Linked DNA regions of Daphnia pulex. The protein of the gene in region 2 binds, or shares a complex with, the protein of the main gene of each other region. Links are inferred from orthologs where the notes say so. Each region holds a gene or a part of one and is shown on either strand. Other genes may lie near its edges.

Region 1 (17,000 bases), on a different chromosome or scaffold from region 2:
TCCATTTGATTGTGCTGCCGAAGAATTTTGTCTTCGTGCAACCATTTACAAGTAAATGCTGCTGCTGCTGCTGGTATGCTCTAGTCTCCATTTACCGTCTTGTATAATTAGTTGAGGCGTTGAGCCAAAACGTTCATCAGATCCATTTCTACCCCCATATAGTACATACTGTATAACATTGCACGACGCTGTTCTAGACGGTAGAACGTAGAATTTCTTAGTCGCTCCCTATCTCGCAATGAACTGTGCTGTGTAGGAGTGTGGCTAGAGGTGGAGTTTCCCTCTCTCTCTCTCTCTCTCTCTGATTTTAACGAGATCAAACAAATTCGTAATTCAATCTTCGTGGCGCCATGATCAGGTAAGGACCGCCAATCTTCTTGGAGTGGCCGGTACGGACATACCCGTCACGGAACTGAAGAAACGAACGCCCGCCTACAAGGTATGTTCAGTCGTGTGTTATAATAATCATTTCCTTCCTAATGGATTTTGTCGGATCCTTCTATTTAAAAAAATACTTAAAAATCCAGTTGGGTGTTAACGGGTACTCGTTCATCGTCAACAACAACGGCTACGTTCTCTACCATCCCGATCACCGACCCCTGGTACGAAAGTGGTTATCCAATCATCAAATTAAATTAAGACTAATCTCTCTCATTTGACGACGGATGGATCGATTTGAAATAGGACGCGGACGGACTCCTGAAACCCAACTACAACACGGTCGATTTGTCCGAAATTGAGTTGGTCGATTCAGACGGCGGTCCGCGTGAAAACGACACGAATCTCATGACCGTAAGTTGTGATTGAATCATTGCTGAAATGTGGCGTAACTCATTTCATTTGAATTGAAATGAATAATTCAGATGCGCCGCGACATGATCGAGCGGCGCGAGGGTGAGATGACGTTCAAAGTGAGGATTCACCACGATGGCATGGTAAGTTTGGAAATTTGATTTCAACAAAAATTCCAGCGGTTAAAAGCCAAATGTTATTCAATTGTAGAAGAGAGTCAGCGTTCGTCGGCAGCGCTATTATTACCGCGGGCTGAAGGGTACCCCTTATAGCCTCGGTTTGGCGCTGCCTGATGGATACGGCGATTTTCGCATTGCGGCTGAAACCGAAGTCAAGCGTCTGTCGGCTGATCACAACATCAACGGTATAGTCAATATTATTTTTAGATCGTAGGTTATTGTTACCGACTCTTTGTGTCCTATTTGGAACAGTTTCGTCCTTCTTCTCCGGCAAGAATTGGAAAATTCACCCCGACTGGTAATGAAAAGCCCCGCGAAACTTTGAAGATTTCAAACGGCCATCAGTAAGCTTATATTGATTGCTCTCTTGGCAAACAGGATCTACTGCCGCTACAACTACGACCATCTGAAATCGTTCGATACGCCCGAGGCTCAAGTGCTGCACTTTGTCGGCCGGACGCAGCGGGAGCGATGGCGTTGGAACTCGAAGCACCCGCGGCCTTCCCACGACACTGTCCGCTGTAAGAAATATGAAAATCCTTTTAGGAACTTATTTGGCCATAACGTTTTTTAAACTTTTTCTTCTGGACTCCCTAAGCTCACAAACAAGAAGACAACTACTACTGTAAGTCTTTTTGTCTAATAAATAACTTAATCAAATTTATTTTAATTATTTCTTTTTCTTTCCTAGGCGACAAACATTTGATGCAATCACTGATTTTTGACGCCCAAGCCACCGAAGTGTTCGACAAGAACATTTCTCTTAGCATTGACCGACAAGATCCGTAAGTGTTTCCTTTTATATGTCCTTTTTAAACGAATAATATTAGATTAATGTTCACTCACGATCACACAACATGCACGAAATCAAACACGACAACATTCTTAGCTTTAATTTGATGTCATCACGATTTTTCCATGAGCACCACTAATCCATTGCATCATTTTTTTGCATTTCAAAATCTATTTTTTCCTTCCAATTTTCTCTTTTTGTGTCACCGGCACTTAATCACACAGAGGTTTAGGCATGCTTATGGCACTACTAGCCAGGTAACGTATCACGAACGTAAAGTAACCTTGACTTCACGTTGCCGTAATTTGGCACATCACTGTCGCTCTTTCGATGCTCCCCACTTAGGCCCGTTTTTTAAAAATGAACTTTTATATGTTTGCTTTGAAATTACTTGCGCTTTGAATTTAGTATCGCACAGAGTTTCAGTACTAATAATGTATAGCTTTTTATTCACAGGAAACGACTAACTGAAAGTGAAACAATTTTAAAATAATCTTTAATTTTTCTCTTCTCTGCTGCTCTTAATAATTATTACATTGTCCCAATCGCTGCCAAAGAAGGATTGGAATTAATCATTCATGGTCTATCATGCCGCTCCAAGGATTGGAATTAATCAAATGATCTTCTCTATTGTGCTGCTCTTTTATTATGTGATTGTGGCATTTGTTCGCAATGTTTTGCGTGTATTATAACATGTTTGGTTATATTATGGCGTTGAACTGTATTTTGCCAGATAATCCCACCTCGTCTAGTGTAGGGCCGCTAAGAGAAAACTTGTGATTGATCACATGGAAGTAATATTTTGGCATTTCTCCTTTCATTTTCTATACAGGCACGCCATGTTTAAGCTGTTTGGTATATCGGTCGCCTTTGTCGCCACTCGCAGTGGCCTCTTACGTTGGCAGGACATCAGCACCATTGATGACAAGTAAGTGTTAAATTTCGTGTATAATGGCATGACGGTCCGTTAAAAGTTGTCATCGTAAAGGGAACGAACTCGGTTGATTAAAATACTTTAGTTAGTTATTGATAATGGCATTAATAATATAACTGCGACATGTTTACGGGCCTCAAGTTTGCATGTGGTACGTCGGAGGCATGCCCAGTGGGATCGGCAGACGAGAAGAGTGAAGCGTGCTCCACGGAAACCTTTCCAGTTCAAGAAACGTTTCCAAAGTAGAATTTTACGTAAAACGATTCGCTTAGATATTCCGTTCATCATACGAAGACGAAAACCGGCGAGGTATATATGTCCGCTTCGAGAGGAGTTCAGAGTACAGTAGATGCAAGTTTGAACTTGGTATAGATGGGCTAACATGGAAAGACGCTTTCGCCATTAAGCAGCCAGTCATCAAGTATATGGTAGATTCTGTTTACCCGCTTATCCCTTGCAAAACTCAATAGGCTGACGAGCTTAATAGTCTACTTGAAAGTATTATTGATATGGCTGCCTTTTACAAACTCTTGCATTACGCTAGACCTTATTGTTTACTCATACGGCGGTTTCTTCATCATTTTTGTTGTTTTCCCTGTTGGATGCAGGCATTTTAGCGAGGCCAATCTCAACGCCATCGACCAGACTTGGTACAAGAGGGCCGTCGATCAATACTCTGTAGAACCGGATAGCTTTGTCTACTCGGTGCCGTTCAGCACGGGTACAGGTATGTGAAGAGTCCACGAGTAATTAGTCAAACGTTTGTCTGAGATTCATTATCACTGTGCACATATTAGGAGTAACCAATGAGAGTGTAGTTACTGCCTCTCATGCCATTTTCGTCGAGAAGGGCGGCTACAAAGCTCCCGCCGCTGTCGTAGGACTTCAATACAAGAACAGCGCCTTCCGAGAAACTTTCTTCAACATCACGTCGGGGGTAAATTTGATTGACAAGCTACAGAGTTTAAACAGCATTTTTAAACATATTTTTTTGATTATTACAGTGCACCGGTTAGTATACATTTATATATATCCTATCCTACTTAGTAGTTGTAGTAATCCTCCGTGGTAAGTTATCCTAGGCCGAAGGATTACTACTACTAAAAAATATTTGTTCATTTGATGGTTTTGTTACGCATACCTACCGATGCAATGCAAAATAGGAGGAGTTCAATGCAGGCGAACTTGCAGTTCCGGTGATTTGTCGTGTTACGTAGTGGACAATCACGGATACATCGTGATCTCAAAGGAGGAGAGAGACACAGGGCGCTTTTTTGGTGAAATCGATTGGCTTGTTATGGATTCATTGATCCATTACGGTGTCTTTAAAAGGTATAAAATATATTAAATAGCCAAGCCACTTTCTTGTTCGCTCGATTTCCTCATCGGGGTTGCTTTATTTCTGCAGGGTCCGCATCTACGACTATCAAGCTGTCTGCAAGGATATGCAGGGGCACCGCAGTGCTGCCAATTTCTTGCTAACACCATTACGTTACATGAAGTGGTTCGTTCAATGGATGGTTGGTCGCGCCTCTTGGATAATGCTCCAAACTCAGATTGCTCATTTGATCAATCCGGACTGGGCCTGGGGCATGGAACAAGAGCAATCGGATTACCACTACGAGGATAATGATGGTAGTCCCGGTAAGGATGCATTAATGAGATCTTTCTTTACAGAATCAATTCTATTTTAAAATCAACCATTTCAGGACCGGTTCCAACGGGTGGAGAATTCATGGCCGACGGAGATATTTCAATCATCGTCCACGACGAAGCTGTATCAATGGAAAACGCATATGCCAATAAATCCCGACCGAGACCATGTGACCAACAGGCAGACTTGTATGTGCTGCAACCCGAAAAGCTATTTAAAGGCGACAAACCCGACTCGGTCAAAGGAAAACAGAACTGCAACTCGAACAATTTGGGCGCCCGCCAATGCGAAAGACACTACAGCACCCACAAGATACCCCACTCGAATTTGCTACTACTAGTCATTGACACAACTTGCAGGTGTGAAATACAGAAGCAAAAGATTGAAATGGAGGAAGTCAAAATGAACGAGTCGTTACGCTGCGAACGACCTCAGGAAAGCTTGTACCGTCAGCGTCCCTCCGTCTGTCTCAGTTATCATCCAGAGGTAAGTGAGAATATTGCAGAGATGACTGGCAGCATAATATTCTTGTTTCTGCATTTTCTTATCGCCTTAGGAGGAGGAAATCAAACAGTGTGGTAAAGGAAATAATTTACTGCCGTCTCCCATTCTACTTACAGCAACCTTAATCTATTCAGTTTTAAAATGGATTTAATTTGATTTCACCGGTCCCGCATGTCTTGTTGCATCATTTTGATTGAGTGAATGGGTGATTCATAATTCTCGGGTCCTCAAAATTTTTATATTATTTGGCTAGTTTATTAGTCTCCCGATGTATGGTGGTCGACATGTATCAACAGCTCTTATTTATTTATGGATCTAAATTGATGACTTTAGTGTGCGTGTTGGTGATACCATGGGTTATGAATGTGCATAGTGTGAGCGACATTGGGCTTAAAAAAAAAGACGACTTCCCAACAAAGTATTCAGCTGGATAAGAAAACGTACTAAGCCTACTTCATACATATCAATTGTTATAAAATGTTCTGGTACGGAGCGTGCTTCTTCATCTGGCTGGTAAATGGTGCGTAATTGTTTGTCGTGAGCTCTATGGACTAATTGTGGTGGTGACTGACAAGCTTGTTATTTCTTAATTTTCAAATTGTTACAGTCCTGAAATGTTAAATTTATTTAAAACTCTCACATTGACGTTTGATATTCTAATTTCAACCAGCAGTAATCGAATGCTTTTTGTTTTGGAGAGGGGACATAAGGTCCTTTTCATGTGCCCGTTACTGCAAATACGATTCTTCTCGTTCCATCTGCCGTGGGTAATGCGTGTCATCCTTTTTGTTAGTGCTTTTTTTCATGAAAAAAAAACTCATATTCCCTACTGATGCTTTGACTGAAACTGAAAATTTTCAAATTGCCCTTGTGTGTTTGAATTCCCCTTGTTTGATTTTAGATAGCATTTTTTTTTTTTTACATTTCCTATGAGGATGCCAATGGTCTACATTTCTAGTAAGATCTTCGGTCCAATTATTTAAAAAATGTTCTCTAATAAAAATAATCTTATCATTTGAATACATTCAAAAATAAGAGAAACGTACATAACATCACTGGTGGCCTTACATTCATTTCATTTGACTTCCTTGTAACTTGTCGGACTTAAAGGTAAGAAAAAAATTCTCTTTAAAAAAAGTTAAAAATCACTAACTTCCTCCATGTTATGTATTTTGCCTTTGAAAAACCAATAAGATGTAAAACATATTTAAAGGAGGTAAAGCATCGGATTTTTAAACTTTTTGTGTCTTCAATACGCGGTTAATTTCCTCGAATTTATGGATTTGTCTAATGAAGTAATCACCATAGCGCCGAGCTACTTTCGTGTCAGCAATATGGATCATTCCGCCATCGATATAGAAGTCCACCTAATGCGAGCAAAAGCGTAAATAAGATACATTCCACTAGAACTACAATTCTAAGATATTTCACCTCAGAGCCTGATTGGAGTTCACCGTCCAATCCAGAGGTGCCTTTAGTCCAAACGACGTTCTTCATCTTATGTTTGAAGCATAGCAGATGGGTGCGGAAATCAGTATCGGGCATTTCCAAAAACGCAGCCATTTTGGCGACAGGCATAGTAGTGTACAAACGTAGATAACTAAACAGAAAATTTATGTTAATAATACTCGGACATTCAAATCTAATGTTGAACAAATACCTGCGAATCGTTGGCAAAGTAAGTTGCTGTTGTACTTCATCCATGAAAACTTTTGCCAACTGTTGAAATGGTTCACGGCGATGATCGGCAGGTGGTGCTTCGACAGGAGGTGGAACAGGAGACAAAAATTTCGGAGAAGCGAAAGCGAATGCATTTTCGAATTCCTAACATAATTGAACAAATTTAAATTGTTGCTTTAACTTTAAAAAATATCAACAGAAACTCACTTGAAGTTCTCCCTTTTGCATCCGCACGATGCGTTCGGCATGAGGTTTCTCTCGCAGGATCGCCTGTAGAGATTCGTCGATGCGCTGAGGATGAAGAACGAGGCACACCGACAGTAGAACGTACATTTTTTCGGTTTGTTTGTTGATCTATAAACACAAAAAAGGAGATTAAGATTTCAGTATTTCATTTCACTTAAATCTAATTGACCTGGTCATTTTGGTATGTTTTAGCCTGGTATAATGGCTTAGTGCGCTGGACGTAGAGTAGAATATGGGAAAACGTCCGAATAGCATCAGCATACCGCCTCATCATCAAATAAGCAAAACCAACATAATAGTAAGTTGAGATTTGGCAGGCAGGTACTCTGGAGTACAGAGTCTAAAATGAGATTGATGGATTACGTTTACAAGCAATGCAAATCATTTTTAATTTTGCGCTTACCTTTTTATTGAGTTCCATATTTTCAAGAACCTTAACAGCTTGATAGAAATCTCCTAATAATGAGTGGAGTCTCAGTAATCCAACAAGACTGAAGTAACCCAACATTTTATAAAGAGGTCGGCGGCCAAATTCTCCTGCTACGGTATCGGGATCATCACCTTTGGCGTATACCTACATATCGATTGTATTAATTTTAAATTACAACCAATAATGATTCTCTCCTTCTTACTTCCAATTGTTGGTTGATATTGGATTTGTCAACCAAAGAATACAACACATTCAATACAGAATGAATGTTCCACAAAGTTGGGTTGATTCTGATGAATTCAAGTTCTTCAGCTGTAAAAAAAAAAAAAAAATGGTGAGAAAAGAAAAGATGGAGCATAAGATGATGGGTGTACCTGATTTCTTATGAAGAGAACAACGAAAAAGAGCAAAAGACTGGAACTGGTAGACAAATTCATCAATTATTTCCCACAGCCATTGATGAGGAAGCTCCAAAACAACTGGACTTTTAGCACCTGTAGTAAAATGGTTTATGAAGGCTTTGGGCAAACATCTAAAAATTAGTGAAGTTAGTACTCAAAATATGGTTGAAAAGTTGACAGTAGTTGTAGTAAGACTCAAAACGTTGTTCAATTGTTGGTCCTCCTTGGATTCGTGCATAAATGTGGCGATAGTAAAGTTCCTTGTAGAGAATCAGAAACGGTTGATCATCATCCACTAATGGGGAAACTTCATCTGCATCAGGCCAAGGGGATGATTTGAAGTGCTCTTCAGTTAATTTTGGAAATCTAAATGGAGTAAAAAACAATGGATCAACAATTCAACTTTGTCTGACAGGCACTGTGGTGGGCTTACGTGTTCTCGTAGACATTCTGAATTTCATACAACTTTCCAGAGTTTACCATCTCTCGAAAATAAATAATGAATTTCTTGATCACATCCGGCATGCTATATTGAGCATATTGGGGAGCACTTCCATAGCTAGTGTATCGTTCATTTTCAGCATCAAGCCGTGGATCCCCGGTTGGCTCATAGGCATCGGCTTCATACTCGTACTACAAATGAAAAAGTTTTTGATGATAGGTACAGAACATGTTGTAATTATTGTACACTTACATCCTCAAATTCTTCGGCATACATCTTTTAGGTTTTTCAATACCGATAGTTATTAAATTTCAATTGAAAATTGCGGAAAATTGAGAAAAGTCCACGAGTAAGATTACTATTTCGATTACTAGTGGCTCTAGTGTCAAATAATAGTAGCTGCACAGCGTTGCCGCATGTACTCAACAATTTTCCAAAAGATCATCTGTCAAAAATTCGAATGTAAAAATCGATCGTCAAACTTATTTACTCCGGTTGAGATTAATTTACCTTAAACTTAACAGATTTCAATGCTAAACGGGACTGCCATTACAATTCTGTTTTTCTGTTTTATAGCAAGTATATCAAATCATGATCAAAAGTTGATCAGGAAGTAAATATTCAAAGAAAATGGTTACCAAAATTGTTTCAAATTTACGGATGAAGACATCAAGCACTCCAATAGCTGCATTCAGGCTGTGTTTCCCAGGAACCATAAAAACACTGCTGAGGTGGATTTGTTGCAGTTGCAGGATGGGTTGTCTAGACACATAAGTATTGATCGTGTCTGGCAGAGGTCTGCTACAACTGGGACCGAGTTTTTACGTTTCTCGCCGGCTCCGGCTCGTCCCCTGTCGCGTGATTCACCGGCATACATGTGTGTACTGCTGTCATGGTGATTATTTGCCATGTTTGGAATAAGTGTTTTGTGGTTTCATGTGACCATTATGCCTAATGCATTTAAGCAGGATTACATAAAACTATGCTGGAGTCAATGGTTAATAGTGCCGAACAGGTTTTATTACTTTGAAATCAACTCGAAAATCGCAAACCATGATGCCGTACAAACTGGTTTTTGAATTTATACGGTTCCCGGTTTTCTTTCCTTTTAGAGACGTAATTGGCAATATTTCAATCACATACCAACCACGGAAAAGGAATGAATTTTCAAAGCGTGTTATTTCTTACCATATTCGCCACACCGATGACAATAAGTGGGTTATCTTATCTTTAATCGAAACTTTATATTTAATTCTAATATTTTACTGAACTTAAATGGAAGCAGGCATTTTTTGAAGTTTAAGATTATAACGTTCAATAAAAGGAACTAGAGACAAACCAAAAACGTTGCCCTGCAAATATTTCTCTACTTATTTAGAATTTTGATTGGGTCATATCTCCGTTTTTTAATATTCAGCCAACTATATACAGAAACATATAAACTCTGCATCTCTAGGAGCAAAAAATAACCGAAACGCGCGGACGCAAATTTCGAATCTCCCAATAAGGATTTGGCTTTCATGTTTGATTTCGTGGACCAATGGCAATGCGCAACACAATCAAGCTCCGCCCTCTTGCACCCAAGGCTGTTCATGAGGTTATAAATGCCAGTCCCATTGCAAACGGAAATTCATATCCAGAGGATTCCAGCGCGAGGCACGTTGACCGTTAAACTTGAGAGTTTTTCTCTTTCAATTTCATTTCGAAAAATATTAGAAAATGCGTGAAATCGTTCATATTCAAGCTGGACAGTGTGGTAACCAGATTGGAGCCAAGGTAAATATTATATTTTCATTATTTTAGAATGATAAGATATTTGACATGGTTTGCTGCAGTGAAAGACCGGTGTGCAAGACACCTTTTTTATGCCCATTTGGCGCTAGTCCGCCATTTTTCTTTGTTGTCCGGCCCCTTTCATCTCAAGATGTTGCAAAAAAAAAAAGAGTAAATGTAATGTTGTTGATTTGATTGCATACTCCTTTCTCATGCAATCTTCTCGATTGTTCATGCCATCAATCTAAAGCTTCCAGGCTTGAATGGTGAACCGGTACCCGGCAAGATCACAAAAAGGCGAGTTCTAATTAGTTTTGTTTCGATGCACTTTGTTTTTTAAAAAACCGGATAGTGTAGTCGTGCCAAGTGGTGGGGTAAAAAAAAAATTGAGGCTAACGACCATAAACTTAAAAAGTAAATGTGAGCCTCCCCTCTAACCTTCAAATGTTATATCGCGCATCCATGTGGCAGATGTGAACCGAATTCGATTGGGCAATTGTATGTGAAACAACATCCCCTCCCCCGACATTTTCCAACCCCTCATTGTGACAGCGCCCTTACTGATGGGTTATCTAGCAGTTCCTCCCTAGGTGTAGTTAGATTTTATACTGTGTGTATAGCACTTAAAAACTCATTGAAATTGGGCAGGTTTTTCTAACTCTCCCTCTTTTTTTGTTTACCTTTTCCTGCAGTTTTGGGAAATCATTTCTGACGAGCATGGAATCCAACCTAATGGCACCTACCACGGCGAGTCTGAACTGCAACTGGAACGCATCAATGTCTACTATAATGAAGCAAGCGGAGGCAAATACGTTCCCCGTGCTGTTCTTGTGGATTTGGAGCCTGGCACCATGGATTCCGTTCGTTCGGGACCGTTTGGCCAGCTCTTCCGCCCTGACAATTTCGTCTTTGGCCAAAGTGGAGCCGGTAACAACTGGGCCAAAGGTCACTACACTGAAGGAGCTGAATTGGTCGACTCTGTTCTTGACGTTGTCCGCAAAGAAGCCGAGAGCTGCGATTGCCTTCAGGTAAATAACTCTTTTTAATTTGGAATGAGATGATTTTTTATAATAAAAGTTTTGCTGTCATGTGAAAACAGGGTTTCCAGCTGACACACTCCCTTGGTGGCGGAACTGGATCTGGCATGGGAACTTTGCTCATCTCCAAGATCCGTGAAGAGTATCCTGACCGTATCATGAACACATATTCTGTTGTCCCCTCACCAAAAGTGTCCGACACTGTCGTCGAGCCGTACAACGCCACTCTTTCGGTCCACCAATTGGTCGAAAATACGGACGAGACCTATTGTATCGACAATGAAGCTCTCTACGATATCTGCTTCCGCACACTCAAATTGACAACGCCCACCTATGGTGACTTGAATCACTTGGTCTCCCTCACCATGTCTGGTGTTACTACTTGCCTTCGCTTTCCCGGCCAGCTCAATGCTGACCTGCGCAAATTGGCTGTCAACATGGTGCCCTTCCCTCGTTTGCATTTCTTTATGCCTGGCTTTGCTCCCCTCACTGCCCGTGGGTCTCAACAATATCGCGCATTGACTGTTCCCGAGCTGACCCAGCAGATGTTTGATGCCAAAAACATGATGGCCGCCTGCGATCCTCGCCACGGACGTTACCTGACTGTTGCAGCCATTTTCCGAGGTCGCATGTCAATGAAGGAAGTCGATGAGCAGATGCTCAACATTCAAAACAAGAACTCATCCTACTTCGTTGAATGGATTCCCAACAACGTCAAGACAGCCGTCTGTGACATTCCTCCTCGCGGTCTGAAAATGTCTGCCACTTTCATCGGCAACTCGACCGCCATCCAAGAGCTCTTCAAACGTATTTCGGAACAGTTCACTGCCATGTTCCGTCGTAAGGCTTTCCTCCATTGGTACACTGGTGAAGGCATGGACGAAATGGAGTTTACCGAAGCCGAGTCCAACATGAACGATCTCGTCTCCGAATACCAGCAATACCAAGAAGCTACGGCCGATGATGAGGCTGATTTCGAGGAAGATGGGGACCACGCCGACCAAGACGCTGCTTAAAAATGCAATTTTGCCCTCTCCGTCCTTGATAGAACTGCCGAAATATGTGGGAGAAATGTTTTCCATCTACTGCACTCCCAGACCGCCCTTTAGTCCAGCTGCTGATGTCCGTGCACTTTCTTCACTTTTTAAAAACTACCATGCCTTTCGCTTCCTATCCTTTTATGCTTTCCTGACTATCTTTTCCTTTTTAGAACATCCCCTAGCAACTCTTTCGTATTTCTCCACATTCCTCGCTCTTTTTTACGTTCCCTGTTTTTATTAAGAAACAACATCCAGATCTGATCTCCTTCGACTGGACTGTCTCCCTGTGTACATTCATCTCTCTGCGCAACCATTCTGAACAAAATAAATGCAGGTTAGCCAAGTCACCAGCTGAATTCAATTTCCTCTTTCTTGCTTAATTAACCCTAATGATAATTAACACCACTTTTGCTATCTGGCATTCAGTATTGCTGGCGTATGCTTGATGCACAAAGCCTCGTTTCCATTGGTGAATTAGAGAAATGCGAGTTTTACTTTTCCTCCCCGAAATGGAAAGGCTTGTGACTCATGTAGAAAATAACCCGTTGGGTGAATAATGCGCACGCAGCTCTAACGAACGGACCTGCTGAGGCGGTGAGTCGTTTTGGGCATCGCCCTTGATGACGTTCATTTCAGATATCCTTGACAACGTAATTGTGATGAGCGCTGTGGCGACTGTAGGTCATCCAACACTATTGTGTCACCGACGCTGCCGATGGGATAGGCTAAAAATCTAGTATGTCTTTTATTGGACTCTATCATCCTTATATAATCCGTCTAGTTTTATTGCATTTACAGTAACGACCACGTACGGTTGAAAGGGGCTTTGTGTGAGAGGTCGTAATGTAGCCAACGAAAGGGAGCCGCTGGACTGCTGTTGTTTTATGGAAGATATGAGAAAATAAGGGAGGTAGTAAATTAAATATGACTAGACGTTTTGGTTGGAAAATTCCGCGGTTTCATCTCCATGACGACGACCAGGAGGCGGTTTCCAAAGCCCGAATCGAGCGGCAGCTTCACTTCGATCACCTGTTCCATAATGGTTTCATCAAACTACCAAGCAACAGCGAAAATAGGGCGAAGGACACCCATAGAAAACAATGGATCGATTGAAAACTACTACATCAAAAGTCATGCAAGCGATGAGATCAACGGTCAGTAAGAGCTGTTTTTAGTTTATTCACGCTATGGTTATGTATGACTCATTCTTCTAAAACTGCTAATAATAAAAAATCAAGGGGAAATGTGACAAATGTCCCCCTTTCAGGCGCATCGAAATTGATAGAACTGACAGACGGAGAGTGTCGAAAGCGAGGGGTAACGTTTTTTGGGGTAAACAATTATACACAGGAAGAGAAGAATCATGCAAAGGAGCAATCAACAAAAGAGAAACACCCTATCAGATGGCATCATAATGCTACCAGGTTACCATAACAACAGACTAGTCGTTGTTTGATACAAATGACCCCCCAACAGCAATTTTTCTCAATCTTATTAAGTTAATAGTTTTCCTACTTTTTAAAATATGAGCATAGTATTCTGGGTCATTTTTATTCCCTTGCTGCAGCGCTTAAAAAAAATTACAAAAACAAATATCCGGATATCAACGCGTAGATTATAAATCTCCTTATCTCCCGATTGATTGGCTGTTGATTCAAGTAGGTTGTTGCACCATTCAGTCACATACAATCGCAGCATTTAAAAATGTCGGAAAAAAGTGAAGTTGACAAACCTCAGCAATTAGCTCGTACGATTCTTTTGATATTTTTTTTCTGATACATCATTAACATCTAATTTTGCACAGCTTCTCTATTTGGAAGTTGCCGATTGACAATTGCCTTAATGTGCGCGGTAGCATCTTTTGGCGCCTTCTTCATGACTATAAATCTCGGAATGGTGATACAGAAAGCATAACAGAGCATACAGTAAATATATAACTGGAAGATGTAGAAAAATAAATTTTTGTATTTATTTCCTCCTTCCATTCCATGCCGCAAAATATGAACATATTAAACTTTAAATGGGCAGCGTAAAAAAAATGTCCCAAAAAGCCCCGGTCTCCCCTCCCCTCTACAAATATTTAAAACAAGAATAACTCTACACTAGGCCTATAACAATTAGAAATACCGGTCCTTTACAAATTACCCCTTTGCTTCGTAGAGTTCGTACGGTTTTGCAATCGTGAGTTTACTGCCGTACTGGCTCCCATCATGAATGAATTTATTCTTGTAATTAATTTAACTGCACCCTAATCATTGACATTTCGAATACGAACACCTTTTGTTGACGTAAATCTCCTTCTTACAATTTAAACGTAACAATTTTCGTTTAATGTTCAACATAAAATCAGCTAGAAAGCTAGAAATTTGGTTTTTCCTCTTCCGCTTATCTGAGAAAAATGAATGACAAAACAAGTTAAAATGATTTGAGATTTAAGATGAAACTTTATTTGTATCGAATAAGAGTGAACATGAAAATCATATAGCCGAAGCCGTTGTTGCCGAAGGTGTTTGTGTTTCGGTCTTTCGACTGAATAAGTTATAACCAGGGACGTATACGTAATGGTCCTCCTCCATGAGTGATATCATGCCATACCTGCCATGCCAACAAAACAATTGTAGCCAAAGCCCAAGCGCAGCAAAGTGCAAAATTTCCGATCATTTCTTCCTCAGTTTCATGCCATAGCATCCATGCAATCCATGCCCAGAAAACAATTGAAGCGAAAGCCCAAAGTGCCAAAATTCCGCCCACCAAATTTCCTTCCGCAGTTGCATAGACCATGAAAAGAAGGCAAAGGCAACCAAAACAAACACCAAGAACACAAACCAAGAAAACCAAGAGCATTACCAAAGCCATTGCGAAAACCGAAGCCGTTGCCAAAATTTCGACCATTCTCACGGTCTCACCACTGGTAGGTAGGATGTTTCCGTGTTTGCAATTAAAACTACTATTGTCGTTGGGGCTGCCTTTATATAGACTTTGCCAGAGGAATCCCGTTCCGCACTGTCCATTTCCACTGTTTTAATTAGATTCCTAATTATGTTTATGCTGTTTAACTTTTTGTATTGATTGTAATTATACTTTATGAGCTAACGAACATTGTTCAATTAGTTTTAAATGTATTGCAATTCATTTTAATCATTTAGATGCATTTTGAAATAAGGTTTTCGGAATCTCGGTCTGGAAAACGACGAGGCACCCATAGCGGCAAGTTCACCAACTAAGAAGAATGGAAGTTTAAGAATGTCTTATTATTTTTCATTGAATCGGCTGTGTTTTATTTGGGCAACACCGCTTCACAATTCTCATGACAGTTCGTCTGCACGTTAATGGTTCCCGTAATTCCGTTCCTCGTCGAAGTCCTAAGTCCTAACATAAAAATTTTCGTAGGATTTTCAATTAAGCATCATGTTATTTTAAAAAAAGTCAGCCATGTCACTGTCAGCATGTCAGCTATGGAATTGTTTTATGTGGAATGCGTTGTAAAATTTTCTTTTCGTTTTTTCTAGTAGTTTCTCTACTGCATGATCAATCGTAATTCATTTGTTAGACACTTAAACAAGTCACGTTTTAAGGAAATGTTTGAAACCACTTTGGATTCCCAGACTGCATCGTGAACCACATCGTGTGACTACAACAGTTGAAGCATGAATTCTTCTTGTGTGCATCGGATTTTCAATCTCTGTTCTGTAAGTGGTGGGTGTTGCAAGAAATTTATTTTCTCAGGATCTGTGTCTGGCTATCATCTGGCTGCTTCAACAACTCAATGCAAAAGTTTAACTGTGAACGTGAGTCTTGAGATTATTGGGTAAGGCTTATTAAGCTTTTGATTTGTGCATACTTAACATTTTCTGTAGATTAAAATTCCTCATATCTCTATCTCTTATTTCCCCAAATGTATCTAGGTTCACAAGTGTGAGTGGCAAGTAACACTCTGACTTCTCCCCAGAAAATGTATCAACTGCCAGCAACCATGCAGATGATGGATTTGAAAAGATTATAGCTTTGAAAGCTTTTCAGTTTCCTCCAGATCTCAATTTTGGTAATCAAGTTTAAGCTCTCCTTCATCAGGTAAATATTTCCTGAAAAGTCTTATTGTTTTATGTAAGAGTATGACACAAAAGAACTGCATTCTTTCTAAATGATTTAATGTTTTCATTAAAGGGTGATGTGACGAACCATTTAAATTCGGCTAGTCAACATTCCGTTTTTATGTAAGGTTAGGCTTGATAATCCCGTTTTTGCTTAATAGTACCGCACAGAAGTTTTCCCTTATTTTGATCACTTCATTTCCTCAACCTAATTCCCTCTTAGCGCGTGTGTCTCTCCCCTACCCAATATATTACTTGTTCTATCCTATTCAATTCCGCGTACACCGTTTAAAGAATTAAGGTGGCTTTCATCCTTCTTTCATCTTTCGGTATTCTTGCTTTTTTTCTTACACAGAGATAAAATCTGTCTTCTAAAAATATTTTGGGGAAGGTCGGGTAAAGATGAATTAAAATTGCTTTTGTCAACTGGTGGTGGTGACTATTAAACGCACTGCAGATTTAAATTTTATTGCATTACAAAAAAGTAATCCATTTACATAACAATTTTCGTTTCAGGCTTATCCGTTTGGAGTAGGAAATCTCTTATTACTCAAATATATTTACTGAATAATTATTCAGTAAAGACAGTTTATCCCGTTTCCCCCGACTCGTGTGCTTGAACCTCTAAGACGCGACTTACTTGAAAGACAATATTGCGCAAACGATGTAGGAAAAGAAGAGGGCGAGAAAAATAACGCGGTAATGTCCAAACACTGAAACCTGTTAAGCGAAGGTGAAATTGAAGTGAAATTCAGTCTATTCCGTTTCTTTTATTGCGAAATCTATTCCTGTCACTCCACTCGCATCTGATCTAGGTTGCTGTATTGAGTAGCGCATCAAAACGGAGTTTAGTTCGTCTTCTGTTCACTGTCTTACTAATTCGTTCCATACACTGGATGGTACCGTCCATCAGATTGGACCTGCAGAACGCACAGTCGCGGAAGTAAGGCGGTTGTGCTGCCACATCTTTCTACAGTAAATGCAATGGCAGGTTGATCATCTAT
Region 2 (16,322 bases):
AATGGGAAAAGATTATTACAAAATTCTTGGAATATCAAAATCAGCTACTGATGATGAAATCAAGAAGGCATACCGTAAACTGGCATTGAAATACCACCCTGATAAAAATAAAGCACCAGGTGCAGAAGACAAATTTAAGGAGGTAGCAGAAGCATATGAAGTTTTAAGTGACAAAAAGAAGAGAGATGTCTTTGATCAGTATGGAGAAGAAGGATTAAAGGTAAGAAAATGAACTATTCTCCTATTAAATGACTTAAGTTTTTACATCATATTTGTACTTAAAAAGGGTGGATTGGGAAGTGGTGGTGGCGGCGGAGGAGGAGGCGGCGGCGGTCCGGGTGCCAGCTTTTCCTACGCCTATCATGGTGATCCAAGGGCCACGTTTGCTCAATTTTTCGGTTCATCCAACCCTTTTGAATCCTTCTTCACAATGGGTGGAATGGGTCAACAGCAGCAAGGTGGAAACAGAGGATTCTTTCCAGAAGGTGGTGAAGACATGGACGTGGATGACCCTTTTATCAACTTGGGATTTGGAGGAAGAAATCCCGGGGGAGCTTTCCGATCTCAGAGTTTCAACATGCACGGGCCAGGAATGGGAAAAGAGAAAGTACAAGATCCGCCCATTGAATACGACCTTAACGTCACATTAGAAGAAGTTCTTAAAGGTAAATTTATTTTGTAATACTCAGTTCTTGGATTTGTGATTTACTTTGCTGGCTATTTTTAGGATGTACCAAAAAGATGAAAATCTCCCGCAAAGTTTACCAGGCAGATGGCACGTCTAAAAAAGAAGACAAAGTATTAACCATAAACGTCAAGCCAGGCTGGAAAGCAGGAACAAAAATCACGTTCCAGCGAGAAGGGGACCAGACGCCCAACAAGATACCCGCAGATATTGTTTTCATCATACGAGACAAACCTCACGGGCTGTTGAAGAGGGATGGCTGCGATCTGCGCTACACTTCCAAAGTTTCCCTTAGAGAGGTAAGAGATAATATATTATAAAAGTTTCGTTCGAGCAGGTTACCTAAACTAATTATGTGTAGGCTCTTTGCGGAACGCTCGTCGAGGTACCCACTTTAACAGGAGAGAAGATCCCTGTGGACATGCTGAACGAAATAATAAAGCCTTCCACAAGCAAAAGAATAGTTGGTCAAGGATTACCTATACCCAAAGACCCAACGAAGAGAGGAGATTTGATTGTAAATTTTGACATCAAGTTTCCCGATCACCTGGCGCAGAGCGTGAAAGATATCTTACACGACACATTGCCTAAATAAAGACTGATTTTTTTTTCTTCAAATATATCGTATTTGTAAACGGCGGGCGACGAGCTACGAGAAGTGTTTTCGGGAAGAACAAGTAATCGAGCATAAATTCACTAATTCGTTTTGGTTAAATAATTGGCTACGCTTTTGTTACACTGAATCTATGAAAATATTGAGCTGTATATGTGTTAAAGTGTACAATGTTTCTCACCTTAAAAACTTAAGAAATAGACTATTTCATTACACGCTTGTTTAAACGGAATTTTCAAATAATTCATACATTTGTAATTAAGTTCGTAATTCGTGTTTATCAAATAGAAAACAAATTTTTAATTCACCATTAAAAATAATAAGAAGAAATGGACTAAATTTCAATTTTTCTACAATCTTCATCAAACTTTGGCGTATCCTCCTTCGATAGGAACTGACGAAATCCTTAAAGATAAGAAATACAAAATTTAGACGCAAAATTTTTTTTTAAGCTGCCCTTTTAAATTTGACTAACCTTTGAACAGATGACGGAGTTTGTGATCTTCAAGAAAAAGTTTCTTGAGTGTAGGAATCAGCAAATCGTAGTTCTTATCAGATCGGTAGTCCCGAATCTTGTCCGAAAACGTAGTGTAGCGAGTAGGGTCCAGTAAAGTCTTGACGGATTTTAAATATTGTGCTGCTTTTTCCCTCCTGTTATCCGTCCCAACACCAGTAGACTGGCAGGAGGACGTGGACGCCATAGAAGACGTCGGTTCAGCTGTTTCAAGTTTAATACGCCGGAGGTCGTACTTGGCCTTTTCTGCATCCGAAACAATGGTTATTTTCCTCTTTTTGATGGCCGGCGGACAAACTGGTTTCTTATCGGGAACAATCGACAAAGAGGGCGAAGCTGTTTCATTGAAATCAATAAAATGGTTTGTTGCTTGCGATCCATCAAAAATGGAAGTTTCTTTCGCCAATTTCGGCTTCAAGGTCGAGGAATAACTTGAGAGATCCAAGTGATAGGCTTCAGCTTGAACAGTGTTTGCCTTTGCAGGATGATGAGAGGTTACTCGAGATGAACCCGAGCTAAGAGCATGATGGAACGAATCCACGGTAGAACGTGAGTTCTTCGTTTTGTCACGATGTGAATCGACTGCAGTTGGCGCTCGTATAGCTCTAGAGGAGCCAGGACATGTGACTTCAGCATTACGGAAGAAAATCCCGAGATCGCGCAATAACGGACCAATTTTGGGGAAATTCACTACACGTGGCCGAACCCAAGCTGACAGCTGTTGAATAATATCTTTACCGGAAAAACGTTGATCACATAGGAGAATAGCTCCGTAATCCTTTTGATGACGAATGACACGACCGATTGCCTGTAAAAACACAACAAAAATTACATGAATGAATCAAAGCAGTTTCTCAAGTTAACAAACCTGATTGACGGCTCTAGTGGCTTCCAGTCGATACCATTGTTGTCCTGTCAATCCCTTAAATTGAGGATTTTTACGGTTGTCTTCAAGGTACTTTTGTTTCTCCATGACTCGAGGATCACGCGACGGTGGATAGGGAAGCCCAGTAATAATCACAGCCCTGCCATTGCCGTCACAGAAATCCAATCCCTCAGATACTTTACCACGGCAAACTGCCATGAAACACGCACCTTTGCGATCTTCGGACGCAACCGCATTATAGAAGCCAGTCATAGCCTCTTGAAATCCTTCCTGTAGACAATTTCGTTGAAATACCCAGTCGTAAAATCATACAATCTCAATTATTCACCTTAGAATTGGGTTCAACGAAAATGGGTTTCACTTGATTGATTGCGTCCCATAGACCAGAGAGCTGCCAAGCTTCTTGACAAGCTTTCATTACTGGATACGATGGGAAGAAAACCAACAATCCATCAGGAACTACCTGAAATAAAATTAATAATCGAATAAAAAAACTTTCAAGAGGTTTAAAAATAGTATGACTATTACTTGTGCGGTGCTCCGGATAGTTCGACCCAATGATTGAACATACTGGGAATTGGATCGATTTTTGTAGCTGCTGTCTAACTGAGTACCATCAGGACCGTGAGTAACAACTCCAACAAGAACCTGGAAACCGGAAGAAATAATCAATCAATGTGCAATAATATTCTTTTTACGTCGAAAACTTATACTTGGCTGCTAGAAATAATATGAGGATTTTCAAGTGTAACGGGAAAGGGGACTTGCAATTCAGCAGCGAAACTGTTTAGCGGTGAGAGAGTTCCACTTGTGAGAATGAGGCATCTGGCTCCTTCTTCCACCAAGTCCCGCATTCCTGTGAAGTATCGTAATAAACTATTGTAACCAAAAATTAAAAAAAAAATAAAAATATTATAATTCTTACCAAAACCGGGACTGAAACACCAGTACGACAGAACTCGACCTGCTTTACCAACCACTTTGGGAGTGCTCCAAGAATCGCCTTTGCTACGAGATTTTGGCTGCTCAACTTTAATATGAACCTTATATGATCTTTTCACACGTTCCATGTGATCGGCAGTAAAATGGCTTTTACTGAATACAATCTTGACTAGATCAGAGAATTTTTGCAGTCCAGTGCCTTTACGCTGATATGGAGATGTGCTGGCAACGGTTAAAAACTGAATAACCCGATCGAGGAGATCTGCAATCACATCCTTTTTCCCAGGACTCAGATCTGCCTTGGCTAATATATCCAGCATAAATTCACCAGGTAAAGTATTTCCCTCCGGCGAAGTGATTGGTATCGCATCGATTGCTTTCTCTAACTCCAAAAACATGGCTTTCAAAATACAGAGGTCATCTAAAGAGAAATCTTTCGGTGTTGAAGGAGATAAAATATCCATTATTCCATCATTATCACTGTTTTCTCGGAATTTTTTCATGACCTGGAGTAAAAAGAACGCTAGAAGAATATACACCACATAATAAAAAGGATGTCGTTTACCTGGGTGACTTCATCAACACAAAGGGCTATATCTAAACTTCTAAGTTCAATAGATGAAGATTCTTCACACATTTTCTCAACATTGTGGGCCTCATCAAATATAACAATATTTCCCTAAACAAGCACAAAAAAAGAAGTTAATATTTCATGCACCTTTAAAGACTACTAAATGTACTGGGAATTACCTGGAGTTCAATGTTGTGAATTTTTCTCACTTTAGGATCAAGAAGGTAGTTGTATGGCATAAAGATGATGTCAGCTACCTTACGAATTTCTTTTGTCATAAAATAAGGGCAAGCAGAATGTTTTTTCCCCAAAGTCACCAAGTCTTCAATATCCAATACATCCATTTTGAAGTCTGGTTCCTCTTTCTTAGCATCTAGATTTGTGTGGAAGTAGCAAGTACGAGTAGTAGTTCTAGCATGGCACATGTGAAGCTTTACAGCATTGTTTGTTTCCTTTGACACTTCTGGATGAATGCACAGTTGGTCACGAGATCCAAGGATGCATACCTTAAATGAAGAAAAATAAAATAAGGGTTATCAAAACCCATTTCATGTAGGCAAATAGCTTTAATGGAAGAAGGAAATGCTCACCTTCATATATCTGTAAGAGGACCGTTTTAATTCAGAAATGACCTGGCTGAGCTGAGAATGAGTTCTGGATGCATAAATGATTTTGGGTACTCCAGCTCCAGGAGTAGCAGCATCTCCCCATCCAAGCCCAGTTGCATTACTTAATTGATTTTTAATATCCACTCCCATATCTCCAGCTAATTGACCAGACTGTATTTGTGCTTTTCGTGTTGCTAACCAACCCAATGTCGAACAAAGTAAGCACAAAGTTTTTCCTGTGCCAGTAGGAGATTCCAACAAACCATTTACACCCTATTTAATCAAGAATAACAAAATAAGAGCAAGGTGTCCACTGACCGATAACGCAACACTAGTTACTTTTTGAAGACATTCTATCACACGCTCCATGAATTTCTCTTGTACATCATAAGGCTGGAATGGAAATTCAATGGGAACATTATTTAAAACCAAATTCACCATTCTAGATAAATAATTTTGGTAATTGTGTTCCACGAGACACACGCAATGTGAAGGAACACGCAATGTGAGGGAACCCGCCAAAATAGTTGAATGAGAATAGCAGACGATGTTAAAACTGCTTTAACTTCCCTAGCGAGTAGCGCCCTCTGAAACAAATCGAAAAGTAAAATTATTTTTGCTAGTGTCATTTTAACGTTACGCGTGATTAAAGAATAAAAATTAATTTTTTTTTTTTTTGTATAAAGTTTAACAGTTTTGATAAGATTAAAGATGGTTCGTTTTTTGGTGGGTGGGTGGCAACACTGTAAAATCGAGCAGGGCCGGCAGACGAGTGTTGTAAAAACGTCGAAAGGCCTCAGTCGCCCCACGCCGAAAGAAGTGTACGTCATTATTACAGTTGTGACCAATTAATATAAACAAAAATGGTAATTTTCAGTGCATTTCTGTTATTTAATTTCATTATATTAATCCACTGTTATTGTTGATCACAGAAACCTCTTATGCTTCACGGTCACGAGCGTTCAATCACGCAAATTAAGTACAACCGGGATGGAGATTTGCTCTTCTCGTCAGCCAAGGACAACCACCCTTGTGTCTGGTATTCAGTCAATGGAGAACGATTGGGTACCTACGAGGGACATCAGGGTGTCGTATGGGCGATTGATGTTGATTGGGAAACTAAACGTTTCATGTCTGGTGCTGGTGATAATATGCTCATGATCTGGGATGTCCAAACTGGTATGTTCAGTGAGAAATGACCCCATTGCGTAATTACGACTTAAACTTTTCTTTGTTTTTTTTTAGGCAAGGCTTTGGGTAAAATTGAAGCCAAGACTTCAGTTCGTACATGCAACTTCAGTTACAGTGGAAACATGGCCCTTTACTCAACAGACAGTACTATGGGTAACCCTTCAGAGATCTTCATCATTGATGTCAGAACGGTTGACTCTTCCTTCAGTGAAAATGACCCCATCCTGCGAATTCCATTAACTAATGCCCCTAAAGCCACATCAATGGTTTGGGGTAATCTAGATGAGGTTGTTATTTCTGGTCACGACAATGGTGACTTGGCCCAATGGGACCTCAGGTGAGAATGACATTGTCGTAACCTTGAGTGCTTAAAACTAAATCCTGTTTATTATTTATACTACAGAACTGGCAAGAAGAACAACCTGGTTTCAGAACACGCCAAGTCTATCAACGACATGCAGCTGTCCAAAGACGGAGCTCTCCTCATCACTGCATCCAAGGATTGCACTGCAAAACTCTTTAACGCCGAAACGTTAGAGTGCCTAAAAACTTACAAAACTGAGCGACCCGTCAACAGTGCCGCCATCTCACCCATCATGGATCACGTATGATCCTTGAGCTTCTAAATGATTCAGTTGATCGATTCTAACTGTTTTCCTTCAATCTTCAGGTGGTGTTGGGAGGTGGTCAAGATGCCATGGACGTAACGACGACCTCAACGCGTGTCGGCAAGTTCGACGCCCGTTTCTTCCATCTGGTTTTCGAAGAAGAATTCGCTCGTGTCAAGGGCCATTTCGGTCCTATCAATTCTCTGGCCTTCCATCCCGACGGAAAGACGTACGCCAGTGGTGGTGAAGATGGTTACGTTCGTTTGAATCAATTCGACCAGTCTTACTTTGACTTTAAATTCGATTACTAAACCAGAAGAAAAGCGAAAAACCTACGAAGAACCCAATCCATCATCTATGAACACTTGTCTTGTGTTTATTTTTTGACCACTTTCGTGTACATGGGCGATATAAGAGAAGGTATTTGAATACATCATGTTGGAAAGGTCTCGAGTGAGAATCTTTTTTGGGGGGAAAATTTATTTCTCAAGAGAGGGCACGAGACGAAATTAAGCGTATACAAACAGGTTCGAGTCGCCTGTTTAAGAGGAGAAAACATAACTGATATTGTTTACAAACAATTCTTTTGAAATCTTTTTCTTCTGACGAAGTCCATTACAGGGTTTACGATATTCTAATCACCTACTGTTGCGCATCCCAAGAAAACTTGGCATTTTGCGAAGAGAAAGAGCTCATCAGTTTCCTTCTGGTAGAAGTTTTAATGGGAGACATTCTTGTCCCAGCTGAACGCATTGGAACTTATTACGACTCTAGCGTCTTGCCAACATGGTCGGGACTATCTCGAGCGACAAGGAATCATTGAGAAGCTCGCCGGTAATTTGGACGAGGCTCCTGCAGATCCTCTTGCCTCGCCTGCTCGTTCCCGGGCTTATGAAATTTATCGGTTCGCTGGCTCATTTTCAACCGGATGTATTAGCCAGATATCCGAACTTTACAAATACGATGTTCAACTTGATCGACGACTCCGACGTTTCAATGAGGATGATTGCTATTGAAACTACTTCCTTTATTGCAACTGAACGCGATGGCAAGTTCGCTCGGAATCAACCGGAATCAACAAGGTATAAAATTAGACGTCTACCATTCTCTTATTTAAACACATTACTAATTTAACGTTACTCTTACCTACTTGGTTCCAAACTGGATAATGCAATCAAGGCTATATTGGAGCATTATTCACCCATGCTTATAACGACGTCCGTCTGAATGCACTTGATTCCTTTGCGGAGTTGATACATATCCCTTCAACCGAAGTATGCCAATGTATTCTTGGTCTTTATTATTAGCTTTTTATTTATATTATTGACTTTATAGACGACTGACGAGGAATTACGAAAAATCGTCGAGCGTTGGTTTCATCAGCTTGACTCCAAGCCAATCCAGTTGGTTATGAACGTTAAGAAACAACCATTCAAATAAGATTTAAGGTGATTTAAGGTTTTCTGCTCTGCGCATATTTCTGCAACTTGTTCCTCAAATTTGGGCTTAAATTCTCATGAGTCAGCACTCAGCAGCCAGGTAAAATAATGAATGGATTGTTTCTTGTTTAGCTTTTTAATAATTCGTTAATTATTAAATAATAGGTTTCTTTGAGTTTCTTCTCGACGGACGGGCTGAGCCAGATAAAGACTGTCACGAGCTGAAATTCAACGTCTTTTTTTAAGACTTAAAACTGCATCGCGGTTTTAGAAATTTGATATTTTTAGGTGCACTTATGTAAGAGAAAAGACTAGTTAGCGGCGCGCATAGTTATTTCGAACTTATTTCGATTTTTGATTAATTTAGTGTTATCGCATATACAACAAAATAATTAACAGTGTCTGTGACTCTGTGACATGGATTGGATAAGCCGTTTTTGCACCCAAAAATTATGAATGAACTAGGTCTCTTCCAAAGGTTTGATAGATTGTAACAACGCCATTTTTATAAATGAAAATCGTTTCATAAACATTTGAGTGGTGTCATTGAATGCATTGACCCTGTTAACCGCAACAGGTGACTCTTCTTATTGTCACTGGTAGTTGTATACAAGAGAGTAGCCAAAATGATTGCAAAAGTGCCGACAATGAATGTCGGCGTTAAATTAGTGTCTTCCAGTACCGAATAGGAAAGAACGCAAGTACAATCGAGTTAGATGTTGCAAATGTTTTCAGAATGTTGTCGGCAAATTTCATAGTTCCCACCACGATTATTGCTTTGAGCGTCTTTTGAATTAAGAATTGAAAAAATTACAGTCGAGTTCAGTTATTACTTACCTATGGAAATCTTGATGACTCAAGTATAAATGAGGCGATTGACATTGGATGGCGAGTTGATGGATCGGTAAGTACTGAATCACACAATCTTGTGCAACACGAAATTCCATTTAATAAATGGTATAATCGTAATTTTCAAATATAACACTCGGCATCAGACAGGCGAACTATGAAATCTTAAAAAGACAACCTTTCCAATTCGATCAAACGATTACATGCTCCGTGGTTTACGATCTGCAGTGGGATCCCGACCGTATGATCTGCGCAGGGAATGGTGTGAATTTAACTTCTCTTTTTCAGTGAAAGACTAAACAAATTATTTTTGAACGTTTTTGAATGCTATTTACAACGACCAACGATGCTTGCAACGAGACCATATCTAAGTTGCCCGATATTGCCTACCAAAAAATCAATAAAGTTTAAGTGTGTTGGGAAAAGATCACATAAAGATATCGTATATTTTTCTTTTAATCTCATCAAAAAAAGATAACAAAAAGATAGCCTATAAAATTTTCGTTATCTTATCTTTATTTTATTATCTGGAGCAAAACACTGTTAATCATTGCTGATAATTGGATTTCAGAACTTTCCGTACTCTTCAGAAAAAGAAGCACGTTTCAATCGTCATTTGAAAAAAAAAAAGTTCCGGGGGGACCTCTAGATACGAAAATAAAATACAAGTAAATAACTAAATAGAGAAATCTTGTCAAGTAGAGAAATTATTTTTTATTTTCAAATTGCCTTAAACAACAGATCAAAATTCGCCTCTCCGGCGTTTCCATGTGTACCCGCCTAAATATATATATCTGCGATAACTCTTGAGAATAAAATTGAAGCGCCAATTTTTCTTAATCCAAATCGCTGTATCGTTCCAATTGGCGATATCGTCACGTGTAATTCTGGAAACCGATTGCTCACTGCAACACAAAATGATTTCTCTTAAAGGATTCAATTCTTGCAGAAAAATTTCAATTCCGTTTTTAGTGACAGAGTTACAGTTAAAGATATACAATTGTTCGAGATTACCTCCATCCTAGTGAGATCCAAAGTGTGAAAATGAGGAATCATCGACAGCTCAAGGAGCGGTTTAGTTCTGAATGTTGTCAGAAATTCGAACCGCATTTCTTGGCATTTCTATATCCCTAAGAATCCTCGTAAGTTCCTCCAGTAGTACAGTGGCTGATTTTTAGAAGTTATTTTATTAATACCATAAAATCTTTTTATTGTTTTATTGAAAATATTTTTAGCTTACGCTGTTTTATTAAGGAGTTGACTTCATCTGAATCCATAGCTTCCGTGCCATCCTCCAGCTCTTGTAGTGTAAATCTTTTACAAAAAAAATCCTGGTTTTCCAAAATGAAATGAAAACGTAATTCTTTCAGAGACTTGGTGCTTTTAACGTTTGTGGCATGTTAGCACAGCAACTTCAATCTTAAACTACAATATGAAAAATTTAGCGCAGCTTTAGCACGCAAGTAACACTTTCCTGAACATTGAGTTAATGAGTGAGAACTGCGCTAAAAATTTATAAATGGGCTGTACAAATATGGGTGGTGGCTATCGAAAAAGATTTTTTTTTGTTAAGATCTAATTGGCTTCAGATAAGGGGTGGAGCGATGTCATACCTAAGTTAAACCTACAGAAATCGGTACCCTCAACTGCCTTCTAATCCTTGAACATGTAAAAGAGCCTTAAAAAATCTGTCAGGGCATGCATTCAGGATCATATTGGCTTCCGATAGGTGTGAAGCGATGTCGTAGACTAAATTAAAGTACACACAAACCGTATCCGTGACCTTTGGTGCTTTGGACATGTTAAAATGGCTTTGAAAAAAAAACTGACAAGGGCATGTATTCAGGATTAAAAGCAGATACTTAAAGTTGGAGGTCACGGTTAGTTAATGAAGAAATAATTGTTCTTGCCAAAGAAAACCCTTTGCAAAGATCAATGCAGTTCAAGGGAGTAGGGAGGATCATTGGACTGACGAATATTAATCAATAAAAGATTTAACGAAACGCTATAGTCATCAGGGACGTGCAGAATAATGTCAGTTGAGCTACGTTTAACGACATCCCCATCAAAAATGTAAAATGTTTTTGAATTTTACTTGATTGCTAAGCTAGATGGCGTTCAATACAAATCATCTAAGGTATCAAACCGTTCGAACCAAAATTTGGCGAACGGGAAAGGTGATCGAAGCCGATTCGTGCATAAGAATTATTTATATAGATTAGTTACCTCTCGGAAGGAATTCTCCTAGAAGAACAGCAGTCGGTGTTGGACCAATCCCTGAATGACCCCTATTGTAGCCCGGAGTCGTCAGAACAGGTGTTCAAGAGCGCGTATAGAAATCGTCCTCGTCCAGTTCTCAATCTTGATTGTACTCGCCAGTTGGAACTACTTTGGGTTTAGTTTACTCCTCCTCAACAGTCACTTCATCGAAGATCAAGCCCATCGAAGAAACAACTTGATTTAACTCTTCTTCGCCGGTACGAATGGCTCGCTCTAACTCTGAATCAGCTTCGATGGACAATGATGCGCGACCCAACTGTTGCATTCCAAAGGCAACGGGGACGTGATCCTCTTCATTAGACGGTACACCAGATGCTGACGATAGGCTGGATGTGGGTAAGATGGCGTAAGATGGCTGGATTCTTACTAGCACTGCTCTCATATAGTCTCATTCCATTGTGCCTTCAAGTGACGTGGAATTGGTTTGGCATACGGAACGTTCCTGATGGGTTTCTGCTAATGGCTCCACATCGAGACCAGAAATCATGTCTGCGCTTAAAAAACTGAGAAAACTCTGACCGAGTTGTCCGTCTCCGACTTCTGCTTCCACTTTGTCTTCCGGTTCCATTCCCGCGATATTGGGCGCGTGATGGTCATCCAGCAATGGTCATCCAGCAATGGTCATCCATGGCAGTTGGAGACTCCTCACACACCGCGTTCCAACCAGCGGCTTGAGAAATCACTGCGGAGAGTAACGCCTCAAGTTTCCTCCAATTGAGAAGAACGGTATGATAAAGTGAGTCCGAACTTGCGCGGCTGTATAATAGTTTTTTTTCTATTGGAACAAACTGTTGTATGGTTTCATCTTAAAATTAGATCTGAACGAAATGAGCGTGTGCGCTAATTGAAAATGATACGCACTCTGTACAGGCCTTCTCGATTTCTGGAAGGCCACCACGCTCGTATATTTCCCATTTTCCTGGAAGAAAAAAATAGTCGATCGAATATAGCAAATGCAATGCACATGTATAAGGTTTGCAAAAGCGACGACGATGGATGAAATTGTTTGTCGTATATCTCTTGTGCGATTCCACTGCGCTTTCGTGCGTATTTATATTTTGCTCATACATGCGGACGGAAAAATGTAAGCTCTATCCAACAAGAAATGCTAGCCGAGAGAGAATTATCTATATTATATATAGCTGCTGTACATCACAGCACACACTCTGCGCTTCAATACATACTTGTACACATGAATGTGTAATGGATATCGTCAATGCTCCGGGTAAGATTGATAAGTTGGGAATTAAAAAAAAAAGAATCTTGCTACACATAGCACCGTCATAATTTTAAAGTTCATCATGAGTGCGTTGGATCGAAGCCGAAAAATCGTTAGGCATCAAAAAAGATTAATTCTGATTCAACCGGTTCTCTTTTTTTCCCATCCGTATGGGAGGCACAACCAATTGGCGTTGTTTGACGCCTCACGATCAGCGGAGACCGACCGAGACCGAAGAAAAGTCGGTTGTAAAAAATATTCGTGTAAATTTATAGGACCTCCCGCGTGTGTGTCATGGCACAGGATCATTAGAGCTAATGTGTGCCAATGATCCGATTATGATCCGATGCGTGTCGACTTTCATTTCTCATGAACTTCTTTTTTTCGTCATGAACATAATGAGTTAGTTTGTGTCGGTTTGTGTGTGCATTTATTGAATTAATCATAATCAATCGAACCTCAAAAAGATTAAGAATTATTAAATGAATCTTCGGTTCTTAACCGACAGGTGGCTGCCAGTCAACTGAATGGGCCGGGTATATACAATTAAATAATTTAAAAAGGTAAAATGTACGAAAGAATAGTTGTAATTAATTGTAGATGATTTATTTTTTTTAAAATTTAATGTGGAAATTGGCAAATGCCATTGATTAAATAAAGAAACATCGCAAAAGAATATCTGGCAATGTTGCTATGCAGACGACTACAGCAGACAAGGGTGGACAAGGGGTAGTAAAACTTGGTAAAACCACATATCAATCAATCACTCTTGTGCGTTTGGAAAGCTTCATGTTCAAGTTGTAACGTATATTTTTTCTTATCAGTGTTTTTTCGTGGAGTGAATACAGCAGTTCAATTCACAGGTGGGAATTACACTTGCAGAACAGGAATAGAAGGACCAAAGTTAGCAAAGTAAACACCTTGTTAGCAATGATTGAAAAAAACAAGAAGTATAAGCTGATAGAAGACAGCGACGAAGAAGTAATGGCACCACAAGTAAATAAAAAGATCAAGAAGGAAAAGAAGAAGTCTGAAGATTCAAGCAGTGACGATGAAGATCAAAAACAACGAGTCAGGGATTTGAAGGAAAGAGATGAGTTCTCTGAACGTCTTAAACTCAAAGATAAAGATAAACAGAGGAATGTGGTTACTGTGGGAAAAGGTATATTTACTATTCAATATTTGTAATAACTATTACAATAAAATGTTTAAATTATCTAGGTTTTGCTGAAGCTGCAAAGAGGCTTCAAATGGAGACTGAAGACAAAGCCAGCGTTATTCCCAAACTCAGAGTGGAATCACGTCGAAAATATTTGGAGAAGCGAAAAGGAGACAAGATTACTGAATTGGAAGCAGATATTTTCGACGATGAGTACTTGTTCGATGAGCAACAACTCACGGAGCGTGAACGAAAGGATCGCGAGTACAAGAAAAACATTCTTAGTCTTGCGAAAGAACATGACAAAGCACGAGAATTGGAATTGGTTCAACGATACCATATGCCCGATGATAAGCGGGAAAAAGCAATGCCTGATAGGTACGTCGAGATAGATGACCGTGAAAAGCAACCTCATTCCGAACAAAAAGTCTGGGAAGATGCTCGCATGGCCACTGCTCAGTGGAATTTCGGTGCCAGAGATGCAAAACAGCGTCTTCAGAAGAGAGGAAAAATTCATGATTATGACCTCTTATTGGATGACACTATTGACTTTATCCAAACAAATCAACTTGCAGGAACCAAGGGTATCGAAGGTAAAGTAATACACCTAAAACTTTCTGAATAAATCTTTAATAATCTTATCCCTCCACCTTTTTTCGTTTTAACTATATTAGAACAACCTGAGGTAAGCGACATCCAGAAAAAGAAAATGTCTCTTCAGGATACGAGAAAATCGCTTCCAATATTTCCGTTTCGCGAAGACTTACTCCAGGCCGTTAAAGACCATCAGATTCTGATCGTGGAAGGAGAGACTGGATCAGGAAAAACGACGCAAATTTCCCAGTTTCTGTACGAAGCGGGATACTGTAAAGATGGCAAGAAAGTCGGTTGTACACAACCACGTCGAGTTGCAGCCATGAGTGTTGCTGCTCGTGTCGCCCAGGTAGAATTCAATCAAGAATTGTAATCTTGACAAGGATCTTATTTTGTGCGATTCCGTTTACAGGAAATGGGCAAGAAACTTGGTAACGAAGTAGGCTACAGCATTCGATTTGAAGATTGCACGTCAGAGAGGACTGTTATCAAGTACATGACTGACGGTATGTTGCTGCGTGAGTTTCTCTCTGAGCCCGATTTGCAGAGCTATAGTGTGATGATTATTGATGAAGCCCACGAGCGAACACTCCATACCGATATCCTCTTTGGGCTAATCAAGGTGAGCCGTCTTTATACACCAACTCTTGAAAGGTTGAAATGTTGAATTATTTCCTATAAATTCTTTCAGGATATTGCACGGTTTCGACCTGATTTGAAGCTGCTAATTTCCAGTGCTACATTGGACGCTGAAAAGTTTTCCGATTTCTTCGACGAAGCTCCTATATTTAGGATCCCCGGTCGAAGATTCCCAGTCGAAATTTTTTACACCATAGCTCCTGAGGCTGATTATATCGATGCTTGCGTTGTCACCATTCTACAGATTCACGTCACACAAGACTCGGGTGACATTCTTGTCTTTCTTACTGGTCAAGAAGAAATTGAAACGGCACTGGAGAGTCTGACGGAACGTACTCGAAGATTGGGCACCAGGATTAAAGAGTTGCTCATTCTTCCTATCTACGCCAATTTACCGTCAGATATGCAGGTTCGTTCTTTCTTATTCAAAGTTTATCCTTTTCATATCTTTTCATCTCTTTCCAGGCAAAAATTTTCGAGCCAACGCCTCCCGGAGCGCGGAAATGCATTCTGGCTACGAATATCGCAGAAACGTCTTTGACTATTGACAACATTATCTTCGTCATTGACCCAGGCTTTTGCAAGCAAAATTCCTATAATGCCCGAACTGGCATGGAATCCCTTGTCGTCGTTCCTATTTCGAAAGCGTCGGCGAATCAACGAGCTGGACGTGCTGGACGTGTAGCAGCTGGCAAATGTTTCCGCCTATACACAGCATGGGCCTACAAGCACGAGCTCGAAGAGAACACTGTGCCAGAAATTCAGCGAGTTAATTTAGGCAACGTCGTTCTGCTTCTCAAATCCCTTGGAATCAACGATTTGATTCACTTTGACTTTTTGGATCCGCCTCCGCACGAGACTTTGGCTTTGGCACTGGAACAACTCTACGCTCTAGGAGCCGAGCCCTGAACCACATGGGCGAATTGACCAAGCTGGGCAGGCGGATGGCTGAATTCCCCGTTGATCCTATGATGGCGAAAATGCTCCTGGCATCCGAAAAATACAAATGTTCGGAAGAAATCGTCACCATTGCAGCCATGCTCTCAGTCAACAGTGCAGTCTTCTATCGACCCAAAGATAAAGCAATCCATGCCGACACGGCTCGAAAGAATTTCTTTTCACCGGGTGGCGACCATTTTACCTTACTCAACGTTTACAACCAATGGGTTGACACGGATTTCTCGACGCAATGGTGCTTTGAAAACTTCATCCAGCATCGATCAATGAGACACGCAAGGGACGTCAGAGAACAGCTTGTCGGCCTTATGGAACGAGTTGAAATTGACATGGTTTCTAATAAAGAAGATTTAGTGGCTATCGGCAAGGCGGTTACGGCTGGATTCTTCTACAACACGTCGCGCCTGTCCAAGACGGGCGGATACAAGACAGTCAAACACAATCAAACTGTGCTCATTCACCCAAACAGCTCAATGTTTGAGGAACTTCCTCGTTGGCTCATCTATCACGAACTTGTATTTACTACTAAAGAGTACGTGAGGCAAGTTATTCAGATTGAGAACAGTTG

The links.
Region 1: eukaryotic translation initiation factor 3 subunit I-like (region 2) and eukaryotic translation initiation factor 3 subunit L-like share a complex: the UniProt entries of both Caenorhabditis elegans proteins name them as parts of the eukaryotic translation initiation factor 3 (eIF-3) complex. The link is inferred for Daphnia pulex from reciprocal best matches to the Caenorhabditis elegans genes eif-3.I and eif-3.L.

Annotation. Positions count from the first base shown.
Region 1 is NC_060018.1:1,446,914-1,463,913, forward strand, and holds eukaryotic translation initiation factor 3 subunit L-like, read right to left. Parts: upstream 8,478-17,000; 5' UTR 8,332-8,477; coding exon 8,308-8,331; intron 8,247-8,307; coding exon 8,047-8,246; intron 7,980-8,046; coding exon 7,768-7,979; intron 7,707-7,767; coding exon 7,587-7,706; intron 7,525-7,586; coding exon 7,415-7,524; intron 7,357-7,414; coding exon 7,186-7,356; intron 7,123-7,185; coding exon 6,952-7,122; intron 6,891-6,951; coding exon 6,744-6,890; intron 6,681-6,743; coding exon 6,517-6,680; intron 6,457-6,516; coding exon 6,288-6,456; intron 6,224-6,287; coding exon 6,089-6,223; 3' UTR 6,006-6,088; downstream 1-6,005. Other genes in the region: voltage-dependent calcium channel subunit alpha-2/delta-3-like, read left to right, coding at 359-439, 528-602, 685-792, 864-935, 1,003-1,156, 1,224-1,269, 1,350-1,492, 1,570-1,596 and 11 more; tubulin beta chain, read left to right, coding at 9,775-9,831, 10,521-10,856, 10,928-11,881. UniProt on the Caenorhabditis elegans protein: Component of the eukaryotic translation initiation factor 3 (eIF-3) complex, which is involved in protein synthesis of a specialized repertoire of mRNAs and, together with other initiation factors, stimulates binding of mRNA and methionyl-tRNAi to the 40S ribosome.
Region 2 is NC_060019.1:6,184,537-6,200,858, reverse strand, and holds eukaryotic translation initiation factor 3 subunit I-like, read left to right. Parts: upstream 1-5,535; 5' UTR 5,536-5,682; coding exon 5,683-5,685; intron 5,686-5,751; coding exon 5,752-5,998; intron 5,999-6,064; coding exon 6,065-6,347; intron 6,348-6,413; coding exon 6,414-6,615; intron 6,616-6,680; coding exon 6,681-6,929; 3' UTR 6,930-7,067; downstream 7,068-16,322. Other genes in the region: dnaJ protein homolog 1-like, read left to right, coding at 1-220, 287-665, 728-984, 1,047-1,280; regulator of telomere elongation helicase 1 homolog, read right to left, coding at 1,633-1,703, 1,774-2,620, 2,681-2,968, 3,027-3,161, 3,227-3,346, 3,412-3,554, 3,624-4,146, 4,206-4,319 and 3 more. UniProt on the Caenorhabditis elegans protein: Component of the eukaryotic translation initiation factor 3 (eIF-3) complex, which is involved in protein synthesis of a specialized repertoire of mRNAs and, together with other initiation factors, stimulates binding of mRNA and methionyl-tRNAi to the 40S ribosome.